Linked DNA regions of Ovis aries. The protein of the gene in region 1 interacts with the protein of each later gene in a biochemical or structural test. Links are inferred from orthologs where the notes say so. Each region holds a gene or a part of one and is shown in the gene's direction. Other genes may lie near its edges.

Region 1 (4,311 bases):
CGCGAGGGACGCCGGCCGCGAGCAGAACCGAGCCCCGGGCTCGGGGCTCCGACTTCCACGTGCGTCCCGCGGGTTTAGAGCAGGAAGCAGCGTCCGCGACCCTTGGGCGCTCCCCGCACCGGGCTCCCTCAGCTCGGCGGCGGCTTCGGGGCCGCGAGGGACCCGGGGCCCTCGGCTTTCTCATCCCCCGAGGGCGGGTCCAGCTCGCCCCTCGGAGCGCGGTCCAGGGTTCCAGGGTAGGGGGAGCCCCCGGCGCGCGCTCCTGCACCCGGACTCTCCGCAGACGCAGGCGAGCTCGCGGAGCGAGGCGGTGCTCGGGCGCCCCCTCACCCAAGCCCGCCGCGCCGCGGGGCGGGACCTAAACGCAGCGCCGGCTTGTGAGACGCCGGGAGAGCCCCGAACCCGGCCAGGAGCGGCCACTGCGGCCGGTGTGCGCGCGTGGGAGGGGGCTGGGCGCACATTCCCCCGCCCCCGCCTCACCGGTCCCACCTGCCGCGCCGCTTGCTCCTGTCTGCAGGAGAGATGAGAGCGCAACTGTGGGGTCCGTTCAAGCTCATTAAATCAGCCCCCTTCACTCCAACTCTTAGCTAAGTTTTATTTAACTCAAAGCAGCCCCCGAGCCCCAAGTGGGAAAACTAGTTCTCCCGATTCAGTCTGCACCTCCGCCGCCGCAGCGAACGAGGGGTTAGCTTCGTGGCTGCGACTCCGCGTGAGCGACGCGGCCGCAGAGGCCCAGGGGCCCGCGGTCTCGCGCCTCCTTTGTGCGACCGGAGGCTCGGGGCGTCCCCTGGTCCCCGCGCTCCGGCGCGCGGCGCGGGGCCTGCCGCAACGCGGAGGGCGAGGCGGGCGCTAGGACCGCGGGGAGCGCGGGCGGCGCGGCGCTACCTTAAACCCGGCCCAATGCCGCCGCCTGCGCCACTCTGCGCGCCGCGGGGCTGCGCAGGAGGAGCGCTCCGGCCACCTCGCCCCGCGCCCCGGCGACACCTGTTCGCGGCCGCCGGCGGCACGCGGGTCCTGCCGCGGCGCCCCTCGCTCCCGCCGCCGCCGCCGCCGCCCGCCGCCCGCGCCCGGCCGATGGACGCCAGCCGAGCCCCCGGAGGACTCTGGACACCAGCCTTGGACGCCTAAAGTTTTCCCTTCTTTTTGTTTTATTATCATCCTTCTCATTTTTGGAGGAGGGGACGGGGCTGCAGATTCGTCGCCGCCACCAACGTGAGATTTTTTTTTTTCCTCCCTTGAAGGATTCCTGCTGATGTCTGCAGAGTCGGTTAGAGTAAAAACAGCGCATGCCTTCCTGGAGTCAGGATCCGTAAATTCTGACGTAGCCCGTGCATCTTAAAAACCCCTATAATAACGCCTAGGCATTTAAGTTGCTATGGTCATTCTGGTCGCAAGCCTAATGGAGAAACTCCGGATTTTTTTCCCTCCCTACGGTCGGATGAGATGAAGACCTGCGTGCCTGCCGAGAGCTGGGGATCTGTGTGTAGAGATACATAGATACGTTTATCAATATGTCAGTGTGCGAGTATAAAGTGGTGCTTGCTTAGACTATCCGCGGTTTGACCTTGAACCTGAGCCAGCGAAACGGCAGGTTACTTTTATTGATGCATTTCATGGATTGAAGAAAAGGACCTTTTTTCTTTTTCTTTTCTTCTCTCTGCAACTGCAGTGAGGGACGGGAGTTGGATTTACCTCGCCGAGTACCTCCTGGGTTGGCACCATCATCATTGTTTATCGCTGTGCTCGGAACGCCTGCCGACTCTGCCGATGGCTCCCCTGGGTGAAGTTGGGAACTATTTCGGCGTGCAGGATGCGGTGCCGTTCGGGAACGGGCCGGTGTTGCCGGTGGACAGCCCGGTCTTGCTAAGTGACCACCTGGGTCAGTCCGAAGCAGGGGGGCTTCCCAGGGGACCCGCGGTCACGGACTTGGATCACTTAAAGGGGATTCTCAGGCGGAGGCAGCTGTACTGCAGGACTGGATTTCACTTAGAAATCTTCCCCAACGGTACTATCCAGGGAACCAGGAAGGACCACAGCCGGTTCGGTAGGTGCACCGTTAACCCTTGAGGGCCCGAGCTGGCAGGCTCGGACCGCAGCTACCCAGAAGGCGGCCGGGCGCGGGCGGGGGATGAGGGAAGGGGTCTGCGGGAAGGGGTCTGCGGGAAGGGGTCTGCGGGAAGGGGTCTGCCTCCCTTGGTCTCGGACTGATTCGGTCTCATTAACTCCAGGGGAGAAAAAAGCCTCCGGAATTGCAGACCTGCCGCTGGCACTGATGCGGGTCTACACTGGAAGGCTTTTTTTTTTTTAAAGGAGGGCATGATTTATAAATATAACACATACCCCTAGTTCTTTTGCATCATATAGGCCGGCAAGATCGGGTTTAGGAAGTTTCTTTTGAATGGAGTGATTCCACGAGTTTCAAGCTTTAATCATTAACTACGGAGAACTTAAAATGCATTTTGCTCAAGGCAATGCTTACCATCTCGTGCCAAATGAAGTTTTTGCCCCTTCCCTTTATTCCTCCAAAAAGTGTCCTGCTTAAATTGTAAATGAAGCGTATTGCTGATTCCCACCGAGTGGGACTGGGGCGCTTTAGGCGAAGGTTGCAGATTGTTCCGTGGGAGGAGAGACTCAAGTCGTATTTCAGACTCCGGGGCTGCAGGGGCAGGGCGCAGGGGGGTTGGGGGACGGACTCGGGCAGGGGCAGGGCCCTGTCTAGGGTCGTTTGTCCTTCCAGCCATCGACTTATGCCCTGTGCTGTCTAGTTCCCACCACGCGCAGCCCTGTGTAGGATTCCTGGGTGCCTCTGGTGTGCGGGTGTGCATGTGTGCGCGCATGCAAAAGCGGCGAGCTAATTTTAAAGGGCATTCCTAGGGCTTCATCTCCGGAGGAGGGTGTCTGTGACTCAGCACGAGGGCTGCAGACCCCGGAGGCTGGAGACCGTCCGCTCTAATGACTGCACACACGTGCCCGCTGAGCCGCCGGGCCCGACGGCAGCGCCCCGGGGGTGGTGGGTGGAGGGGCTTCTCCTGGTTTTTTTTCCCCCCATACTTACAAAATAAAGCTGGGGGTGGGGTGGGGGAGGTGGCGGTGTTTGGGCAACCGGACTGTTGGAAGGAGTTAACTTATTGAGCGAACCCCTCTGACAACTTAAACTAGGTCGTAAAAGCAAAGTCCTGTGGTGCTTTCTGTTCGTCAAGCTTCACGCCAGATGCTGAGCACGGTCTCAACTGTCCGTGTAGCTCGTGGGCTGCAGACGATGGCCGACGTGAGGCCGGCCCGGGCCTGAGATGGGCCGGCCCCGGGGTTTCCTGCCTCTGTCCTCCCTCTCCGAGCCTCGGCCCGGAGGGACCCACCAGGGAGACGGCTCAGGGTCCCCCCCCGCCCAGCTCCCGCGGCCCCGTCCGTTTTGCAGTCTCCAGTTACCCAGAGGAAGCTCGAGAAGTGGAGGCGGCTCCGGCCGCTGCGGAACGAGGACGAAACTTCGCACAAGCGCTCACCTCGGCCGCCCCCAGGCCGCCAGCGCTCGCGCCGCGCTCCGGACCAGGGCGGGCGGCCGGGTGCGTGGACGTCGCGCCCAGCCCGGGCCCCCGCGCGCCGGCCGGCAGGTGCCACTCGGCTGCCCGGGCCCCGCGCGCACTCGGCTGCCGCCGGCCTGCTCCGCGCGGTCCTAGACGCGCTCGGGTTCGGCGGCTCGCCCCCGCCCCGCGCGTCCTGGGCTGCTGGGACCGCCGAGTCCGGGGCGCCGGGCCCGGGCGCACTCCGGCCGCATTTAGGGATCGGGCTCCTTGAGCCCGGGGCCGCGTCACTTCGCGCTCGCGGCGTGAGAACGCAGGTCCAGCGGATCGGGCCGCCGCCGGGAGCAGCGTGGCCGCGCGTGGGGCGGGAGCCGCCGGAGGCGCGCGCGGCGGGGCCGAGGCCCCGGAGTCCAGTCCCGTCTCGGACCCCTCTCCGTCCTTCGGAGCGCACAGCCGGGTCCCGGAGCGGTGGGCTCGCGGCGCCGGAGGTGGGTCGGGCCGGCCGGCAGGGCCGGGGCCGCGGGGTAGAGAGAGGGGACAAAGGGCGGCATAGGCAGGGGGCCGCGTGCCATTGTTGCGGACCCGCCGTCCCTCTCCGCCTGGGGAGCCCGCCGTGGGCTCCCGCTTGCGGCCGGCGACCTCCGGTGCGGAGCAGCCGAGCCCGCCCGGGGAGACCGGGAGGCTCCGCTTGGGGCTTCTCCTCCTCTCCGTGCGCTTTTTTTTTTGTTTGTTTTTTAAACGCAGTCACCTTTCGGGTAGGACGTTCGCTACACGCAACCCGGTCATTAGGAAT
Region 2 (3,640 bases), on another chromosome or scaffold:
GGTGGGGAGCAGGGCCTTCTGACGTCCTATCACCCATGGGGCAGAGTGTGGCCTGGGGTCTGGCAGAAGCCCGCGGGCTCCTGGCCGGCCTCAAGGCTCTGGGTTCTCTGGGTGGCTAGGGGCGGTGCCCATCCATCGAGCTGGGCATCCTCACCCGGTGTGCCCTGGTCCCTGTGCCAGTTGGCAGCCCGCCCCTGATGGGCCCGCCTGGGTGGGTGGTGATCCTGAGACGTCTCTGCGTCCTGGGTCACAGTGCGGCGCCCTGGACCCCCCGACTGGAGCTGGTGTTTGAGGAGGGTGAGGGGACCTGGCTTTGGGCGTGCCCGGAGGTGGCATTCAGGCTACTGGAAGCTCGTCCAGCCCTGGGAGGGGGTCTTCAAAAGGCTGACATCCCCTCCGCAGGCGGGAAGCGGGCTGGAGAGGCACAGGCAAGCCCCTACCCACCCCAGCCTGTCACAGCCTTCCCTCCCTCCCCGGACAGCAGGGGCCCCTTACTGGACGCGGCCCGAGCGGATGGACAAGAAGCTGCTAGCGGTGCCGGCCGCCAACACGGTTCGCTTCCGCTGCCCGGCTGCCGGCAACCCCACGCCATCCATCACCTGGCTGAAGAACGGCAAGGAGTTCCGGGGCGAGCACCGCATCGGAGGGATCAAGGTGGGGGAGGAATCAAGGTGGGGGAGGAATCAAGGTGGGCCCGCGGCGGGTGGGGGTGCGGGGCGGGGCCAGGCGGCGCTCAGACCAGCTAACCCACCGTCCACTCACCCGAGTCCACCCGCAGCTGCGGCACCAGCAGTGGAGCCTGGTCATGGAGAGCGTGGTGCCCTCGGACCGCGGCAACTACACGTGCGTCGTGGAGAACAAGTTTGGCAGAATCCAGCAGACCTACACCCTGGACGTGCTGGGTGAGGCCCGGGGCGCGGGGGCCGGGGCGGGGCCGGGCGGCGCTCAGACCAGCAGCCTCTGAAGCCCTCCCCGCCCCGCAGAGCGCTCTCCGCACCGGCCCATCCTCCAGGCGGGGCTGCCCGCCAACCAGACCGCCGTGCTGGGCAGCGACGTGGAGTTCCACTGCAAGGTGTACAGCGATGCCCAGCCCCACATCCAGTGGCTCAAGCACGTGGAGGTGAACGGCAGCAAGGTGGGGCCCGACGGCACGCCCTACGTCACCGTGCTCAAGGTGGGCGCCACCGCCGGCCGGCCGCGCGGGGAGGCCTTTCGGGCTGGGCCTTGGGGGAGACGCAGCGGGGTCGGTCTGGGGGCGGGGTCTGTCCGCGTTGGCCTGCAGACCCGGAGCGGGGCTCTGCCAGCCCTGGCGCCTCCCTGGGCCCTCAGGGCAGGAATGTGTTCCCACGGCCCCAGGGTTGGGGGCCACCCGAGCTGGGGCGATTGCGACATTTGCTGCCCAAAGAGAAACATCTGTTAAGGCACACGATGGGGCTGAGGGGCGGGATCGGGAGTACAGACTTGGGGCGGGGCAGTACCCGGAGCTCTCAGGCCTGGCAGCGTTGGGGCGGGGACCCCAGAGGTGGGTGGCCTGAGCGCCCTGAGGAGGATCTCTCTGAGGGTTAGCGGGCGGCGGGGGTGCATGATGGGCAGCTGTGTCCAGTGTGAGCACAGCGGCCGCCGTGAGGTGTCTCCATGCCTCCTCCAGGCAGCCCTCCTGGCTGGTGCCGCCTGGTCTGCCCACCCGTTCCTCGGGGTTGGGCGAGGGCCAGCTCCTTGGCAGTCACGCCCGTGTGTCCGGCGGGGCCCCTGCGCCTGAGCCGGGTCTCTTGTCCCCGCAGTCGTGGATCAGTGAGAGTGCGGAGGCCGACGCGCGCCTCCGCCTGGCCAATGTGTCCGAGCGTGACGGGGGCGAGTACCTCTGTCGAGCCTCCAATTTCATAGGCGTGGCTGAGAAGGCCTTTTGGCTGCGTGTTCACGGGCCCCCAGCAGGTAACAGCTCTGTCCCACGCCTGCCTGGCACGCCGAGCTCCAGCTCTGATGCCCTGGCCCTGTGCCCACCCGCACGCCCCGCCACTCCCGCCCCACGACCCTGGCTCACACTGCCCCTGGCGTGGCCGCCTCTGCACCTTGACCCCCCGGCCTCCGTTGTGACTGCCTGCTCTGATCCCCCACGGCCTGCGCTGACCCACCCGCACCTTGTGTGTGCCCCCCGATGCCCTTGCCCTGGGGCCGAGCCTGAGCGCCCGCCTTCAGCTGCTCTAGCACTCGCGCCGTCTCTCTCTGTCTGTCCATCTCTCTGTCCCCTCCTCTCTGGCCCCGGCTCCCACAGCTGCTCACTTTTGCCTGGCCTTGTTGCCTCCCTCCCTGCCCCCCTGGCTCCCCCGCCTGCCCCTTTCCCCCGGTGCACGCTCACCCTGCCTGCTGCGCTGACAGCCAACACGTCTGGCTCACCTGGGACAGAGGACTCGCCGGTGGAGGGACTGGCTTCGGGCTCAGTGTGGACGCGCGGGGCAGAGGCCACTGGGCCGCGGTGGCGGCGGTCGCGGTGGTGGCGGCGGCGTTTTCCTTGCAGCCTGGCCGGAGCGGCGCCGAGTGGACTCTGGCTGCGGTGCCCGTGGGCTGCTCTTGGTGCTCTGCTATCGCGCTGTGTTCTCTCTTTGTAGACGGCGGGCGCTAACACCACCGACAAGGAGCTAGAGGTTCTGTCCTTGCGCAATGTCACCTTTGAGGACGCGGGGGAGTACACGTGTCTGGCGGGCAATTCTATCGGGTTTTCCCATCACTCTGCGTGGCTGGTGGTGCTGCCAGGTATCGGCTTCTGCCGCTCTCGCTCTGTCCTCTTGGGGCTCGGGATGCGCCAGTGCCGCTGGGGAGGCCAGGGGACTGCAGAGCCCTCCAGCCAGGTTCCGCACCCGGCCTGCAGGCAAAGTCCGCTCGGCCCTGTCTCGGGCCAGACAGGCCTCCCCCCGATAGTGCCCCGGGCCAGCGGGGTCCCTGGCAGCTGATGGGATGGTGCTGGCGCCTCCCGGGTGGCGGGTGAGGGTGCTGCTGGCTCTGCTGGGCTCTCTTCTTTCCTGGGTCTGTCTACGCTTCTTGTGGCCTGCGCACTTCTGGCTGCTGAAGACTCAACGAGGCCTTGGCACTCCCCCCAACCCCACCGGGGGCGGGGTCTGTACCCGGTCCTGGGCCCCCCACCGTGCCCGTGGCTCCGGCTTGGGGCAGTGCGCGGGCTCCCGCGACGCTGGGCTAGGCCGCTGACACCTGTGTCTTTGCAGCCGAGGAGGAGCTGGTGGAAGCTGGTGAGGCTGGCAGTGTGTTCGCGGGCGTCCTCAGCTACGGGCTGGGCTTCCTCCTCTTCATCCTGGCTGTGGCCGCCGTTACGCTCTACCGCCTGCGGAGCCCCCCCAAGAAGGGCCTGGGCTCGCCCGCGGTGCACAAGGTCTCCCGCTTCCCGCTCAAGCGACAGGTAACAGAAAGTAGATACCAGGTTCCGAGCCCGCCCGTGCCCTTGCCCGGCCCGCTGCCCTGACCCCTGAGTGTGTCCTGTCTGCAAAGTCTGAGGACATCAGGGTGTGGGCTGAGCCCTCCCCGGTTTGCACAGTCACCCCGTAGAGCTGGGTTACTCCGGGGCAAAATATGTTAAAAACCTCCATTTAGCACTACAGGGGCAGAAGTCAGGTCCCTCTTGGGCATGTGG
Region 3 (3,640 bases), on another chromosome or scaffold:
TCGAGGACTTGGGGGGAGAGGTGGTGAGGTCAGTGGGGGGCCCTAGCTCTGCGCCCACAACGCTCATCCACAGGTGGTCTTTTGGGGTGCTCCTCTGGGAAATCTTCACTCTGGGCGGCTCCCCATACCCTGGGGTCCCCGTGGAGGAGCTTTTCAAGCTGCTGAAGGAGGGTCATCGTATGGACAAGCCCAGTAACTGCACCAACGAGCTGTAAGCCTGAGAAAAGATGCCTGGGGTCCTGGGCTGGGCCCTGGGGGTGGGCTGGGCTCGGGGCGTAGAGGGAGGAGTAGGAGGCGCGCAGCCAGCCGCCCGCGGCCCATCCACCCTGAGCCTGTCCTCTCCCCCCACCCCGACCTCGCCATCCTGCCCCAGCTACATGATGATGAGAGACTGCTGGCACGCAGTCCCCTCTCAGAGACCCACCTTCAAGCAGCTGGTGGAAGACCTGGACCGCATCGTGGCCTTGACCTCCAACCAGGTGAGGCGGCCCTTCCCAGATCCTGTGTGCCGACCGGCCCGAATTCTCGCGGGATTCTAGTTCTCGCGGAATGAATCCTACCGCCGCGGGAAGCAGAGTGCGGGTCTTGCATCTTTTTGTCTCCGCCCTCAGGAGTACCTGGACCTGTCAATGCCCCTGGACCAATATTCCCCCAGCTTCCCCGACACCCGAAGCTCCACCTGCTCCTCCGGGGAGGATTCCGTCTTCTCTCACGAGCCCTTGCCCGAGGAACCCTGCCTGCCCCGACACCAGGCCCAGCTGGCCAACGGCGGACTCAAACGGCGCTGACTGGCCCCATACCCCGCACCCCTCCCCGGACTCCATCCTCAACTGTGGCCCCGCCCCTCCTCCCGCTGGACTCGCTGCCTCCCCTGCGCTCTGCTGGCCGGCCTCCCTGAGGCCCGCACGCCCGAGCTCCCCTCCTCTCCTCCTCACAGCCTGACAGAGGAGCAGGGAGGCCGGTCCTTGCTGACGGCTACTACGTGGCCTGCCAAACGTTGGACCAAGACCCCCCCACTGCCGCCTGGAGGGTCGGGCAGTGGGGGCCGAGCCGCCCTCGAGCGAGAGCCGACTTAGCTCTCCTGCATTGGTTTTGCCTGCTCTGCACAGCCCATGTGCCCGTGTTTTGGTGGCAGGTCCTCGGGCTACAGCGGGAGTTGCGTGTAGAGGTGGTCAGCGCTCGGGCCTCCGCAGAAGGCGACCTCTGTTCCAGACGGATAGTGCCAGTGGCTTATTGATTCCGATACTAATTTGCTTTTATGACCAAATACCTGGTACCCGAGGGTGGGGACGCAGAGGCCGGGAGCCGGCGGCGTGGCCCTGGGGCCCAGCCCCAAAGCAGGGGCTCTGTACATAGCTACGAAGAAAACACAAAGTGTATAAATCTGAGTATATATTTACATGTCTTTTTAAAAGGGTCGTTACCAGAGATTTACCCATTGGGTAAGATGCTCCTGGTGGTTGGGAGGCATCAGTTGCTATATATTAAAAAAAAAAAAAAAAAAGAAAATGTTTTTAAAAAGGTCATATATTTTTTGCTACTTTTGCTGTTTTATTTTTTTAAATTATGTTCTAAACCTATTTTCAGTTTAGGTCCCTCAATAAAAATTGCTGCTGCTTCAATTTTATACGGGCTGTGTGACACGGGAGAGGAGGCCGACTGTGAAGGAGCGAGGCTGCCGGGCTCTGGGGCTGGCTGTCCCAAGGTCTCTTCCCCATGGGTCCTTCTCCGAGGCCTCAGGACAGCCCTCCTTCCTCTGCCGGGCCTTGGGAAAGAAGGCAGGTAGGGGTCACTGGGCCCAGGGCCAGGCCCCACCGCCCCCTCCACCATACGTTTCCCTGGGGGGAATGTGGAGCCTCTGGGGTCTGAGAGTCAGACAGGGAGCTGAGGGCCCAGCTCCGAAGAGCCAGGAGTGGGGCTGAAGTGATGAAGAGGCAGGTCATGGATGGTTTGACCCTGGGCGGCAGGTACTCAGACCTAGGAGAGTGGCTGCTCCTCTGTGTGGGTATGGTTCTGCCTGTGCTTCTGTGTCAGGGAGGACCTGTTACCTAAGACCAGCTTTACACCCAGGGCCCTGGCTTCAGGTTTCTTGTCTCCCAGGCTATTCTGCCTACCTACCCCCACCCCCGCCAATACCATTCTGAATTCGAGTGATCAGACCGCGTGTGCTAGGGCTAGCACTTGGCCTCCTCCAGTTCTTCCCACAGGAACTCTACCCCAGCCCTAAGGAAAAGGAAGACATTCTGTGAAGGTGCATTTTGGCTGCTGGGGAATTTTCTTCCTCTGCCACCTGCTGGTTATCTCTCCCCCCACCAAGTAGGTGCCGGCTCCTTGGAACCTTAGGGCTCAGGCTGTTGGTTCACAGCCTCTGCCCCCAAAGCTTGCCCTTTGCCGGATCCCTTCTAAGTATAAAAGCAAGTCCAGTTTCGTTTGGGAAGAATGGGGTTGCTCCTGAAGTTTCCTTTCTGAGCTGTTTCTTGGCCCCTTCTAGTGTTGGCTCATTATAAAGTTCTGTTTTCTGCTGAGTAGCTCTGTGAATATGCAACTATCAACATACTCTGATATGTGTTCACGTTTAAGGAGGGCATATACTAGTGAAGAACAGAATCAGGAAATGAACTTTAGCTTTTAAAACCATTTGTGGGACAGCTTGTAGTGGCACCTTTCCTTGTAAAATACTGATGATAGTTTGGGCCCAGGGTCGTGTGAATGGATGGTCACTCTTTCACAAAGGGCTTTGCGTGCCTTCAGTAGAGGCAGTGGGACACAGCTCACTGTTGCTGTAACAGTGATGTCCTTGCTATTACTACTCTAATCACCCATGAATTTCCCGAGAGACTGAGCTGTCAAATCAAAGATAGTGAAATTGACCTGAGAGAAAATGAAATGGCCATTTTACTTAGCTGACCAGATTGGGTCTCTTGAGGAAAGAGATCCAGTTTATCTAATGAAGATGTCATCCTGTCAAGGCACTGAGTCTGTCTGGTTTCCTGAGGGTTAAAAGATGAGGGCCGGAGCATCGGTCGATACCACCTTCCCACCCTTTCTAATTGCCACAGGCCAGGGGTCACCAGTCCCCCGGCACCGCTAATGTACTATATTGATCTCAGGTAAGTAAGATTGAATCATGGCTGAAGGAAATTTATCTCCATGACAGTGAAGTCGCTGTGTTTCTCACAGCCGCCACTGGGGGGAGCCAGCGGGCCAGAACCCTGGGCAAAAGGAAGGTGTCGATCAGCGTTAAAGTTCCGTTAGTCTGACCCTACCTACTGGTGTGCACTGGTGGTGACAAGGAGATCTTTAGGTTTTAACACTATAGAGCATTTATTCGATATCACCGTTGCGACCTGTAATGACTGAAACACAGAATTAGTCACAGCACAGGTGCAGGTCCATACGTGCCAAGCCACCAACACCTTTCTGTTGAAGCAGAATTCTCAGGGTGTGAGATGGGCCAAGTCTGACATCACCACCGGGGTTGGGCTTTAGAAAATGCCTAAAATTATACTCGGTGAGATTATTAGCAGCTGGTGCAGCCACAGAAGATGCATTTGTGGGGAAGAGTAGAGAGCAGGGCAAGGAGACAGGCTTCCACTCAGCTGTTGGGAGGCAGGTGGGCAGGGACCCAAGCACTGGGGCA

The links.
Region 2: the proteins of FGF9 (region 1) and FGFR3 form a complex in vitro, tested with the Homo sapiens proteins (3 studies listed by BioGRID and IntAct, with this or other methods). The link is inferred for Ovis aries from reciprocal best matches to the Homo sapiens genes FGF9 and FGFR3.
Region 3: the proteins of FGF9 (region 1) and FGFR1 interact in a biophysical measurement, tested with the Homo sapiens proteins (2 studies listed by BioGRID and IntAct, with this or other methods). The link is inferred for Ovis aries from reciprocal best matches to the Homo sapiens genes FGF9 and FGFR1.

Annotation. Positions count from the first base shown.
Region 1 is NC_056063.1:35,651,266-35,655,576, reverse strand, and holds the start of FGF9 (fibroblast growth factor 9), read left to right. Parts: upstream 1-1,375; 5' UTR 1,376-1,767; coding exon 1,768-2,044; intron 2,045-4,311.
Region 2 is NC_056059.1:117,455,768-117,459,407, reverse strand, and holds part of FGFR3 (fibroblast growth factor receptor 3), read left to right. Parts: intron 1-481; coding exon 482-654; intron 655-778; coding exon 779-902; intron 903-983; coding exon 984-1,174; intron 1,175-1,781; coding exon 1,782-1,932; intron 1,933-2,606; coding exon of another isoform or gene 2,607-2,751; intron 2,752-3,218; coding exon 3,219-3,409; intron 3,410-3,640.
Region 3 is NC_056079.1:32,639,004-32,642,643, reverse strand, and holds part of FGFR1 (fibroblast growth factor receptor 1), read left to right. Parts: intron 1-73; coding exon 74-211; intron 212-373; coding exon 374-479; intron 480-611; coding exon 612-788; 3' UTR 789-3,640. UniProt on the Homo sapiens protein: Tyrosine-protein kinase that acts as a cell-surface receptor for fibroblast growth factors and plays an essential role in the regulation of embryonic development, cell proliferation, differentiation and migration.